3 linked regions of the Coturnix japonica genome follow. The protein of the gene in region 2 interacts with the protein of the main gene of each other region in a pairwise test. Links are inferred from orthologs where the notes say so. Each region holds a gene or a part of one and is shown on either strand. Other genes may lie near its edges.

Region 1 (4,290 bases), about 17 Mb from region 2:
AGGCCTGGGAAATTTTCTGGCCCAGGGAAATGGTGAGAATGGAGAACATGGGGTGGGGTACTCACTGGTTCATTGTCAGCAGCGAGACAAACCAGCCTTTGCAGTATCCTAGTTACCACCTGTAGTTTATGAAGGCTGAAGAAATATAGACATTATTTTTTCCAGAGCTTGAATCTAGATGTCCCTCGATGGCTTTTGACTGCTGGCACAAAGCAAGGAACAATATCCATGTTCCAACAGGACTTCTAACCCCATCACAAAGCCCCCTTGGTGCACTATTTTAGACAGATATTTCAGTCACTGGCACAGGAATGTGGCCGAGTTTGAAAACTTGTGACCGTGGATGTGGTATAGAAATATGTCGAGAATGAAGAGAAAAATAACCAGAGCAGTATGAACTGAAGAAAGAATCAACAAGGCTGCAGAAGCCAGGGAAAAACACAATGAAGAGGAGGTAACAGACCCTACAGAAAAATCCAGCTGTGTAGAACCATGTGAGTCTTGTTATGAGGTGTTGCACTGGAGGAGAAAATGCACATAGCAGATAGGAAGACAGAGAGTAAAGTAATATTGAAATAACACCACTTTAGGTGGAGAAAGATGCAGTTTCACTTGCCTTGATTTTCAGGCTTGGAGCATTTCACTAACAGGTCACTGGTCTCTGTGGCAACATTAATTTATTAGCTGTAAGCAAGCAAACACATAAATGTTTATGTAGTCATAAACAGTCTTGCCCATTTCCACTGCTCAGCATTGCACACACACTTCCCATTTCAGTTGGCCGCTCAGTTTGGTGTGTGCTCACCCCTCGTGTCTGTCTGTGTATGTAAATACAAGTGACTCAAGGATCTGTGCTTGCACTTGTGACACCGCCTGTCCCGTGCTTAACCTCGCAGAGGACATCACACAGAATCACAGAATTGTAGGACATGTGATGAAGGTTTTGTCTCAAGCTCGTGTTAGTGAGACACAGTCAGACCCAGCACCCCGTGTCTTGGGGGAAACACACACATAATTAACTTCTCTGCACCGCAGAACTCACTGCTGTATTTGCCACATGGTGGGTGTCACCCAGCGGGCCTGCAGCGCACGTAGGAGCCCTCCCGTCCCCAAGAAGCCTGAGTGTATTTGCCATATGGTCGCACTCACCTGCTAGGGCGAGAGACAGACGGGCAACACACACACTCATAATGAAGCCCCCCACTGGGCTGCCCTAAAAAATGAGGGGGAAAAAGCGGCTCCCTAATAACAGCTCCGTAATGTGTGGGCTTTGCGGTAGGGCGGGACGGTAGCGCACCTGCAACCCAGCGATGGCAGCTCAGCCATTGCCGCTCCAGGGCTGGCTTTTCGAGTGCGGGGGGCAGTGACAGCGCAGCATCCCTCCACCTCTTCTCCCCTCCCTTCCGTTCCCGTCTCTCCACGGCGGCTGCGCTCGGGCTGAGGGGGAGCGCGGGGCTCCCCCGGCGGTGACGTGCGTTGCCATGGCGAAGCTCAGGCAGCGTCTCGCTCCGTGGTGGGGGGGGGGGGGCTGAGGGGATGACAACAAATATGGCGGAGAGGAGCAGGACGGCAGAGACGGGTCAGTGCAGCCGCAGGCGCCTGGGCGGGGGGAGGGGGGAAGAGATCCCCGTCTCCAGGGGATGAAGGAGAGGGGCTTCAAGCAGGGAGGAAGCCTTACTTCCAGCAGCCTTAAAGCTGGAGTGCGGGTAACGCAGCTCATCTCGCCGGGGAAAGGGAGGGAAGCTCTGAGGTGCAGAGGGGGCCCGGAGCAGGGAGAGAGCCCACAGCACGGGGAGCTGAGAGGAGGGGAGAATCCCATTCCAGGGGCGACGTGGCCGTGGGGCAGGGAAAAAGGGCCGCGGGTTGGCTCAGGACCCGGCGGGAACAGCTCTGGCTGCGGGGCTTTGAGGGGCAGCCAGCGCCGCGAGAGGGGACGGAGCGGTGTGGTGAGGAGCAGAGCAAAGACTGTGCCCTCACACGAGAAACCTTCCCCTGCCTTACCTAGAGTGTAAAATAAATAATACGCGAAGGCTGAATGTTGGAACTGAAGCCGCTCCGCCGTGCTGCTGGCTCCGGGCTGACCTGCAGGTGCTGCCTGCCCTGTCTTTGGGTCTGTAAGGAGCGCTGCACTTATGGCATGTGAGCCGAGGGGTGAAGTGGGATTGTCTCATTATGCCCCTGCTGGCAATAGCTCTGGCTGTGTGTGTGAAGATAAGTTTGTGGATGGAACTCAAGTTCTGGGCTTCTTCAGGTGCGGTATGGATTGTCTAGGTAGAGGGGTCTCTCCTATTGTAACAGAACACAATGAAGGCCTTTACCACCTCACAAAAGCTCCCAAACTAACTTAGGAAAATCTATCAACATTGTGAGGATGAAACAAAGGTGATGACGGCTTTTCTGAGTGTTTAATACCCCCACAGCATCATACACGTGAATTTCCTAGATTCCTGGACCAAAAGCTCATTTTCATTGCCTGCTGTGCTGCTGTGCATGTGCTTTTATCCCCCAGAAGTGGCTCCATGTGTATGGAAGATGCACTATCCATAGAACTGACATTGGATTTTTGGACCACTCGAGGTGAAATAAAGTGAAAAATATGTGAAATACTCTTGTCCTCTGAAAAACAATACTACAAAGGCTGTGTCTGAATAGGTTGGCCTAAGGTTCTTGAACTCCCAGTCTGTTTCAAGCCTACTCTTTACGAAGCCCTGAAACAGCATTGAGAAGTTTCTTATACATTAAGCTTTCCATGGAGCAGGTGATTTGTTTCATCTGCTGTACAACACTGTACTAAACACAGCTGATCTGCTTTGACTGCGCCGTGTAATGGAACACATCTCCAGTGGCCGTTTGACTTTGTCAGCTCTTCAGCAAACTTCATCCACCTATGCCTATGTGCTTGCCAGGAATGTTCTATATAACATGGTAGAACTTGCTCACTATTTCTGGATTATTGCATAAAGTTACTTTTACATTGAGTTTCCTGCTATATTCTTTAAATCTGTATCTTTACAATATTTGGTTTCTGTTTTTAACTCTGTCATGCCCATTCCAACTGGGTAATCCATCATTTTCTTGTACATGCACCCGTTCCATGAGCTTGTGGTGAAATCAAGTTTTGTTGCATGTTCTTGATACATGTTCATCTCAGTTTTTCAGTGCCTCTCTGACTGTTTTGAAGCTCTAATTTGCAGCCCCCTCCCTGTCTGGATTACTGGCTGAGTAACTTCAATGCAAAAAGCTACAAAAATAGGAAAAAAGTCCTGACAATTTAATGGGACTTGAGGAAACTGAATGAAAGAAAGTAGTGGTCTTGGCCCATTTATTTAGAGAGGGCATAGAAAGTAGGCTCTGGAAGAAGCGTCTGTCTCCCACTGCACTTAGTTTAGGTTTTCAACACTGATGTCATATATTGTAGGTAGGGAATATTCTTGTTCATGTCACATCCTACTTCCTATGTCATCACGCTCTGTCAGATTTGGGCCATTCTTGAGGAGATGTGAGTCCAGCTCTGAGTCCTGCATTTCACACACGTTTAATTTTTTTCTGTGTGGTTGGACTGGATGATCTTTGAAGTCTTTTCCAACCTTGGTGATTCTATGATTCTATGATTCTATGATTCTTTGATTCTATTGTTTGCAGGGAGAACAAAGCTATGAAAGAACAACCTTGTTCAAACTACTTGAGTTGATTTAGCCACTGTGGCTCTGTTGCACTTGCTGTTACATTTTATTTTTTTTTTGGCAAATGTTTCTGTTCCTGAGTCAGAAGACACAAATAATAGCTCTCCTATCTTTTCTTCTTGAAGTATTGTTATTTCTTATTTTCAAACGAGAAAACAGCACTACAGGAACTCTGAAGGTAACTTACCTATGCTTTACGGCAACACAGATCACTCTGTGTTATGGAGTTCATTATATTCTTGTTTGCTTACATGCACCTGAGGTGTTTTCAACCTAAGTTTAGTTTTGAAAGTACGCTGTGTCAAGAGGTTCTGTATATCAATTATACTTTACGGAAAACATACCTTTTGGTCATGTAAGAGTTTGTATTTCAGTTTTATTAGTATTTCCTTATTTGTTTCTCACAGGAAATTAAAAGTTAATTGTTCATACACTGCTCATTGTAGTTATTGTTTCTTTATAAAATCTTTCAATATTTTAATTCCTTCCTTCCTTCCTTCCTTCCTTCCTTCCTTCCTTCCTTCCTTCCTTCCTTCCTTCCTTCCTTCCTTCCTTCCTTCCTTCCTTCCTTCATTCCTTGCCTTCCTTTCCTTCCTTCCTTCCTTCC
Region 2 (4,109 bases):
GTGGCTGTGCAGAGAGAACAGATGTACAACACCATTACTGCAGTGATGCTTTGGATGCTGTCCCAGAGAAGAGCACTTTGTCATGCACTGCCTGCCCCCTCGACCCAAACACCCATGTGCTGGGTTAGGATTGCTCATCACTCAAGGCATGGCCAGAGCAGGTGCGAGTGCCCAGAGCCCCAGGATGATTCAGATCCCTCAGGGCCCATAGAATCGTAGACTCATTAGGGTTGGAAAAAAACACTAAGATCATCTGTTCCAATCAGGACACAAGGCAAACAGGAGCTCAGCTTGCAGCCCTGCCCCACACATCGTGTGGGATCACATGATGGCAAGTGCAAGACACACTGGACAGGGCGAGTGAACAACGAATCTAAACCTGTGCTGGTACTGCAGGATGAAAGCATGAAGTGCCTGTGAAGTCTGCAGTCGAGATAATCCCGTGGCAGGTATTTGCTGGGATTATGCCCAGTCCTACATAGTGTTTCCACAGAAAACACAGGTGTACTGCAGAACAACGAGGACACTGCTATGGAAGGAGGACAGGTGAGGGACAACCAAACAACTCCCTCTAGCAGCAACACAAGCAGGCAAGGAGAAGGGCCACCAAGCTTCAGAGAGCTGCAGCACACCTGGGCAGGGCCCTGCTGCCAGGATGGCTGCTGTGTGGCATGTAATTGGGAAAGCAAGGAGGCCCATCCTGTCCTGTCCCATTTCACAGTTTCTCCCTACCACTGCAGCAGCCCCCAGGCAGGATGCTGGCTGCATATTTGTGCTCACACCTCGAGCTCGGGCATGATGAACTGTGAGAAGCCAGGTTGGGCAAAGGGAACAGCAAATGGCACTGAGAAAAACGCTCCCTGCGACTGATGGAGGAGAACACGGGGTGAGCCAAGGGGTATAGCTACCTCTTGATGAGCGGGATCTTGGTGCTCCAGTTGTTGAAGGATCCAGAGATGAAGACCTCTTTGCCTCCATCAGCCCAGCGGATGACAGTGGGCCGAGCCTGCTGGGATGGCTTCACTGACTCCTCCAGGTCAGGCTGCCATGAAACAAACTCCTTGTCCCCTGGAATCTGAGCAGAGAACACCAGAGCCGTTTCATTTCCCTCCACCTCCATTTGCACATTGCAGACAATAGTAACCTCAGGCTGGGCAGGCAGCTCCACCCATCCATCCCAGGAGATGTTTCTCCTGTGTTGCAGCTCAGCTTGTGGTTCCTGCTATGAAAGCTGTACCCCGGCACACTGCCACCCTGCCTGTATTTAGCTTGAATTAAACAGAGGGCTGCTCCCAACCAAAAATCCTCTCCTTGAAAGCAGCCTCAGCCCAGCACAGCCCCCTATGGGACACCACCCAGCACCCGACGTGAGGACAACAAAGGCAGCAGCCAGCCCCCTACCTTGGAGTCGTGGGAGCTGAAAACACTGGGGTCATCTGTGCTGCCCACCATGATCTTGTGTGGGTGCTCCTTTGTGGGATGGGCAGCGCCGGAGCCGTCGGAGCGGTGGGACTTGGAGCCATGGCGCTCACCGGACACTCGCTCGCTGGTGGTGTTTCCCATGACAGCTCAGCAGCCGCTGTGAGAGGGGGAAGAAGGCAGTGTTGCCTATGTCCGTGGGCTCCAGCAGGGAGCAGGGTGCTGCTTCCCGCTGCCTTTTGCCAGCACAGAGTGACAGCAATCCTAAAAAAGGCCCAAAGTTCTTCCCCGATGCCAAGTTTGGGAGCCGAAGGGGAATTTAACAAGCGAGACAGGCTGAACTAATTATAGGCATACCCTTATGAGCCATCGTGATAGTTAAGCCGGTAATTGTTATACCCTAAAACAAAAGTGAGTTAGACCACATCCTACACAAGTAGAAGGGCTGATGAGAGAAATAAAGCCACCCTTGAGTGGCAGATTGTCTCCCGGCACTAACAGAGCCTCTTTCACAACCCCACAGTCAGCCTGCACAGAACACAACGCTACAGCCAGCAGGAAAACAGCCGGAGAGTGAAAGTAGCAGCTGTTAACAGCTCCCAACGAGTGTGGGTGAGCCTGCGGGCAGAGCAGCACGGCTTCACGGCTGGCACAGCAACAGTGCTGCAAGTAGCAGGAGTGGAATCGGCCAGGCTGGAGTGCGGCCAGGGCAAGGAGTAACAACACGGTGTGTGCAGGCTGTGCTGCTGAGCAGGCTGCGCTCATAGCCGACCCCAGGGCTGCGTGTCTGCCCAGCGCCGGGCGATACATGGGCTGAGCCCATCGCTGGGGCAGCCGGCTGTGTTCTGCAGGGAGCCAGCCTTGATTCACTGGGTGCGTTGTGACAGCTGCGGATTTGCTTAGAACATCAAGCTATGTGCGGAGGGCCGGGTGAGGCCGCCAGCCAAAGCCTGGCTTTAAACCATTACGGGGCAATTACTCGAGTATTCCTTAAGCCCTCAGAGGGCAGCGAGCCCACGGCTCACCCCACGGCAACGATGAGATGTGCAGGGCCGCTGCAGCACCGCCCGGCACAGTGCCGGCCATAGCGGTGTCACCGGGCGCGGCGTTACGGTACCAACGGCACCGACACCCGCACCACCGCCCACAGCGTCACCCCCCGCACCGCCGCCCTGACAGCCCCACCCCCTGCCGCCTCCTGTCCGCTCCGGGCCCCCCGCCCCGCCGTGACACCCAGCACCCAACCCGGCCCCACAGCACACGGGGGCAGCGCAGCCCCCCATGGCAGCCCCGCTCGCAGCCCCACCTGCCCGCCGCCGCCGCCGCCGCCCCGCTCTCCGCCTCCGATCAAAATGGCGGCCGCCTCCACCGCCAGCCTCTGCGGGGCGCTCTGTCCCGCCCCCGCGCTGCTCTCTATGGTACCGGGCAGCCATTTTGTTTGAGGGCGGTGTGGCTTCCGGGAGAGCGGCCATCTTTGCTGTGGGAGCGCGGCCTGGTGCGAGTAGTTTGCGTTGTGCAGTGCGGGCGTTAATGAGCGCAGCCCAGAGCCTGAGCCTTCATGGAGAACAAGGACGAGCTTTATTGCCTTTCTCATGAGGAAAACGTGCCCCGTGCCCCTCCCAGCGACACCGAAACCCAAGGCAGAGTTAGGGGATGGCCAAAGCCCTCTTCACTAGGGGCTATGGGGACAGCGAGACGTAGATGAGCGTGGCCACGATGAGTCCGAGGCTGAAGAGGACCTTGAAGCTGTGTGGCACCGAGCTGCAGGGCGGCACAGAGCGGCCGTGCCCGGCCCTGCCCCGCAGCGGGTGCTCCACGCGCTGCTGCTGAGTCAGGATGGCCTCCCGCGCACCCTGCCATGCGCCGGGGCCATGCAGGCGGTACTGGTAGGGCGTGCAGGGCCCCAGCAGCACCTCCAGCGCCAGCCTGGGGTCAGTGAGGAAAAGCAGCGGCACGTTGGGCTTGACGCCCAGCTGGCAGGCGAGCTCGTCCATGTAGGGGATGTAATCCACCTGGATGGTGTGCCGCCGGCTGGCCACGTACCTGTGGGCAGGGACAGGCTCTGTGTGTGCTCATCGAGGAGGTGGTGGCAGGTTGGTGCCCCGCAGGGTTCTTACCGCTTGGCTATTTTCTCCTTGGCTTGTGTGATGTCAGCCAACATGGTGCTGGTTGGGGGCAGCTTGTGCAGACCTACAGAAGGAGAAGCAGAGAGCTGTGCTATCAGCAGTTGTGTCCCTCTGCGCCCAGCGTGGCTGCTGTGCCACAGGAAAAGCCTTTGGGCCACCAAATGGGGCAAGAGAGAGGCATGGGCAAAGAAATAAGAGAGAGAAAATGGTTTGCAGGTGAGGAGATCCATTACCAGCTGTATGTGATGAAATAAAGTGCAACACTTGTTGCAAAATGCAGTGATGTTTTATATCCCTTCATAGAAGGATGATAAAAGGAGGAGCACATGCCAGCAACTGAATAATTTGGCCTTGCCATACCCAGAGAAGTGCATTCCCGGCTCGCCTCGCTTACCCTTAAAGACACGGGTGGCCCAGCGGCTCTGCATCTCCGAGATGGGCATGATGGCTCCCAGAGGCTGGATGTAGCCAATGAAAGCCAGCGTCGGCTTCTCCAGGTCAACTGGGAACATAAACTTGTAGAGGGGGACCTGATTCTCCACCACCTTCACATAGTCCTCAAGG
Region 3 (4,300 bases), on a different chromosome or scaffold from region 2:
CTGTACTTTAGAACTGGCATTTAAACTTCTGATTTCTCTGTAAAACACAGTATGGTGGATTTTCTAATTTATACACTATTTCTGTGCTTGGTTTATATCCTGAAAAAAAATCAAGCAGGCTTTCCCTCGTCCATAAGCTTCTACATGTTGTCCATTACCTATTTTTGCCTTTACTAAGCTTCACAGTGAAGTGAAATCAACATCATTCTTCTCCCGTTCCTATGCTAACCCGCGCTCATCCCTCCCGGATGAATCCCATGGATTTCCCGGCGCAGCCTGAACGTAGCACACAGTTCTGAGGATGCCCAGGTTCATACTCAGCAAATCCCACTCATCACTGGTGACCCCGTGGATCTACTAGGGCCGCATGAAGGGATGAACGCAGAGCTGTGGTCGTCCCATAGAGAAACTATGAGAAATAACTCTCAGCTTCATAATGTTAGTACATAGTACTACATAGCCTTCTCCGCCCCCTCCTCATCCTCCCACCCCATTTTTATTAACAGTGACCCCTCTCTCAAGCAGCGATGACAGCAGGTGGAGAAGAGGAAGCGCTGCCAACTGCCTCCCAGCATTAAGAAGAGCTCTCAGGGCTTTCGCCCCGAGAATTTGCTCATGTAAATAACGCGCCACATCGCTGCTCGGCACGCCGGGTATATTTTAAGCAGGGCCACACGTGATAGGGGTGTACGAGCGCTCTGTGCATGCCGACGTGGATACGCCGCTGTGCGCGCTTTAAAGACCCGCTGGCGGCGCGGGGTGCCCAGGCCTGACGGCACTGCAGCCCGTGCAGAGATGACCGGCTGCTCCCATATCAAGGGAACCTCTCTCACAAACAGCCATTTCTATCAGCTGCCCGTGGGCCGCGTCCCGTACACGAGTGGGAATCCATTACAATGGAAGTTTCATAAAAGCGAGCGAAATTACAAATGAACGACGCTGAGAAACACCCCCCGGGGGGCTCTTGGAGACCCCGCTGTGCCCCTGCCGCCGCCCGCCCCGCGCTGCCCCGCGGGCCCCGCTCCGCGCCGCCGTGCCGCCTCCTCGCGTTAATCCGCGGCACAATGCCGCGGGCAATAAGCGGCCCTTCCTGCTGCCGGCTGGGGGGGTAGGGAGCAGAGAGTTTAAACTTTTTATTCCATAGAGGGGGATTAAAAAAAAAAAAAACAAAAAAAAAAACAGAAAGAAAGAAAATAAAAAGAAAGGGAAAAAAAAAGAAAACATGGCTGGGGGAGGGGAAGCACCTGGGAATGGGTCTCCCGCTCCCCCCAGGGAAAGCAGCTCCCCTCGACCGCCCTGTAGCCCGATCGCTGCTGGCCCCTGGATAAACACGCGAGCACAAAAGCAGCCCCGAGCGCCGTGTGACCGCGCACGGAGCTGCCTCCTGCGAGAACAGGCTGCGGCCGGGCCCGGAGAGGGGCGCGGGGCTCCGCACGGCGCCGGGGCCCGACGGGAGCGGGGCCGGGGCCGGGAGCGGGGCCGCGATTGTGGTGGAAGCGGCGGTAGCGCTGCCCTTTTGAATGCCTCCCGCAGCTCGGAGTGCTGGCAGGGCGCTGGGAGCGCCAGTGAATGTAGCCCCGCAGAGCCAATGAGCTGGGACCGGATGCGATATATCCTCTGGGACAACAACTGCTCTGTTCCTCCTCAGATCCACATGACGCCATTTACTGCTGCTTTTGCAGAGAGATCACCCTACCTCCTCCGGAAAGAAAAAGAGAGAGAGGGAGAGAGAGAGCGAGCAGAAAAACGCCGAGCCCCTCCAGCTCAGATCTCAAACCTTCCTCCTCCTCCACCTCCTCCAAACACACAACAACAACCACCACCACAAATCCGCTGCGCTCCCCAAACACCCCCCCCACCCCCCCGCTCGCAAACCGCAGAGCCGCCTGCAACACACTCACACACACACACACACACACACACACGCTCGCAGAGGGAGCGAGAAAGCCGAGGGAGAGAGGGAGAGGAGCGTGCGGCGAGCGGCGTTCGGCAGCGCGGCCCCCCCCCCCCCCGCCCGGCTGCTGCTGCTGTTGCTTCCTCGGATGAGTTCGCTGGAAGAAAGCTTTGCCATCGGATTTTAGATCCACTTGATTTTGTTTTCTGTGGCTTTCTCCTTCCTCTCGATCCTTTGCAACGGCAGCAAGAAAAAAAAAAAAAAAAAAAAGGGGAAAAAAAAAAAAAAGAAAGGTGACTCGGTGCTGGCGGTTCGGCCTCCTGTTCATTGAGGGAGAAAAAAAGGAAAGTGTGTGAGAAGTGAGTTCTTTGGAGGAGAACAGAAAACCCACCCAGATCCGGAGAGGTGTTCTGATTATTACTATAGCACATAGGCGCACACACGTTCTTACAGTCGAGCTGGGCAGAGGGGAGGACTGACTTTACTCCGGACTTTTTTTTTTGCAAGCCGATCGTTCTGATTCTCATTTGCAAGTTGGACGAAAGCAGAGTTTGGAAAAGAATTTTTTTTTTTTTTTTTTTTTTTTTGCTTTAGGGCTGGATTTATTTGCAAACCGCAGGAAGAAGAAAATACAACAGAGAGAGGGGTTTGGTGCAGCGCCGCGATCACGGTGAGAGCCTTTTCCTTCTTTGCAAAACAAGCTTTTCAGTAACCCCCGCAACCCCCCCCCCCCCTCTTTTCCCCCTCGTATCCCCCCCCCTCTCCTCCCTCAGCGCTGCTCCAAGAAAACTCGTGGAAATGTTTGAGGCCGATCCTTTTTCCACTCGCACAGGTTCTCCCTCTCCCCCTTTCCCCTCTCCTTCCTTTCCCAGAGAAGAGCCGGAGGTGGGATTTCGGAGCTCTTTTTCTCTCCGGGGAGGGTTTTGCGGGCTGCGCTTTATTTGCGCCTCGTCGCGGTGCTCCGGGGGGCGCGAGGCTGCGCGGGGGCGGAAGGCTGCGCGAACGTACACGCGTGCCCGGGGGGCTGCGGGGAGGCGGGGGCCGCGTATTCCCGGCTGCGGGGAGCCGGGCACGGGCGGTGCTGCCCCGGGGGAGGCGCAGGGAGGGCGCTGCGAGGCCGCCGGTACCCCCGGCCCGGGGGAGCGCCGTGATTGACGCCCGTGTGTGGTGGCGTCGGGAAGATCCGTGCCATTCGGAAGTGAGTGCACGGCTGGTGTGTAAATACATCTGTGCGGCTGCGGGTGCGTGCGTATTTCTCGTGCGGTGAAACTTAATTCGATTCATGAGACGGGGAAACTTCACTCCCAGGTTCTACTTTGCAGAGTGTGTGTGTGGAGGGGAAGAAGGACTTTTTTTGTGGGGGTTTACTGTGTAACAGGCCCCCATCCCCCCACCCCCCTCCCCGATATATATATTTATCTGCTGGTGTTCTCAGCATGTTACTTGTATGTCAGCTTGCCCAACCTTGATGTAAAGTCGCTTTTGCCCTAATCCAGAGTCTGATGGCACACTCTGCTCTTAATGTGGGTTTCAAAGCACTGTGAAAGCAGAGACGGTGACGGGGGTGTTTGCGGGGCGGTGGGGGTGGGGGTACTGCGCGGCTCCGGACACAGCACAGTAAGTCCCGGGCAGGGACCTCTTCCCCCGAGGCCCCCTCCGCGATGCGGGGATTTTCCACACGCAGCACGCAGAAGCCCCTTGAGTTTGCCACTTCCTCGGACGTGCGAAGACGAAAGTTGCCTCCCCCCCACCCCCCCGGCTCGCCCTCCTGCCAATCCCAGCCAGGAGTAGGCAGCGGTCGTGGCACTTGAGCTGTGCGAGAGTGGACTTTGGCTTCTGGAAGTGGGGAACGGTGTTATCGCCCACATGCACACACAGGAAGGCCAAGCGCTGGAAGGGTGCTGGGTCATAGGGAGAGTCGTGCTTTCTCTCAGAGCTTTCGGGCATGGCTGCAAATAAAGGTGCTGGAGGTTTACATCCTGTCCCGTTAGGGTCTGTCAGGGGGAATAAGGAAACATGGCCCGGCTCGGGTTGACAGTGCCTCCTGGGCAGGGGCGGGAGGCTCAAGTTCGGGCAGTTCTCTTCTCTGGCGGCTGAATGAGCGCTCAGGGCAAGGCGAGGGGGGGCAATTTGCCTCCTGCCCGGCTGTCCCGGAGGTTCTGTCTCCAAGCGTCTGCGGGGCGCCGCTCACTGCCCGGCCGGGAAAGGCTTCCTGAGCATCTCCCGGGGGAGGGCAGGGGGGAAGAGTTAAAAGGAAACATGGGTTTGACTTTCCTGATAAGGCGACTGCGGCCGCCCCCTCCCACCTCCCGGCCCGGGGATGTCTCCTGTTAATCTCCAGGTTGTCTGCACTCGCGGGGCCGCCGCCTGAAGCCACGGGGCTCCGCGTCCCACCTGCTGCGCTCC

Evidence for each region. The genes of interacting proteins can lie anywhere in the genome.
Region 1: the proteins of PRKAB2 (region 2) and BEN domain-containing protein 5-like interact in binary tests that used the Homo sapiens proteins (3 or more experiments, as listed by UniProt). The link is inferred for Coturnix japonica from reciprocal best matches to the Homo sapiens genes PRKAB2 and BEND5.
Region 3: the proteins of PRKAB2 (region 2) and SPRY2 interact in binary tests that used the Homo sapiens proteins (3 or more experiments, as listed by UniProt). The link is inferred for Coturnix japonica from reciprocal best matches to the Homo sapiens genes PRKAB2 and SPRY2.

The regions. Positions count from the first base shown.
Region 1 is NC_029523.1:20,985,405-20,989,694, reverse strand, and holds the start of BEN domain-containing protein 5-like, read left to right. Parts: upstream 1-1,490; 5' UTR 1,491-1,536; coding exon 1,537-1,579; intron 1,580-4,290. UniProt on the Homo sapiens protein: Acts as a transcriptional repressor.
Region 2 is NC_029523.1:4,168,125-4,172,233, forward strand, and holds the start of PRKAB2 (5'-AMP-activated protein kinase subunit beta-2), read right to left. Parts: upstream 2,801-4,109; 5' UTR 2,726-2,800; intron 2,219-2,725; exon of another isoform or gene 1,580-2,218; 5' UTR 1,564-1,579; coding exon 1,402-1,563; intron 1,076-1,401; coding exon 909-1,075; intron 5-908; coding exon 1-4. Other genes in the region: dimethylaniline monooxygenase [N-oxide-forming] 5-like, read right to left, coding at 3,099-3,462, 3,537-3,609, 3,940-4,109. UniProt on the Homo sapiens protein: Non-catalytic subunit of AMP-activated protein kinase (AMPK), an energy sensor protein kinase that plays a key role in regulating cellular energy metabolism.
Region 3 is NC_029516.1:136,861,073-136,865,372, forward strand, and holds the start of SPRY2 (protein sprouty homolog 2), read left to right. Parts: upstream 1-1,500; 5' UTR 1,501-2,253; intron 2,254-2,488; 5' UTR 2,489-2,564; intron 2,565-2,683; exon of another isoform or gene 2,684-2,779; intron 2,780-3,868; exon of another isoform or gene 3,869-4,300.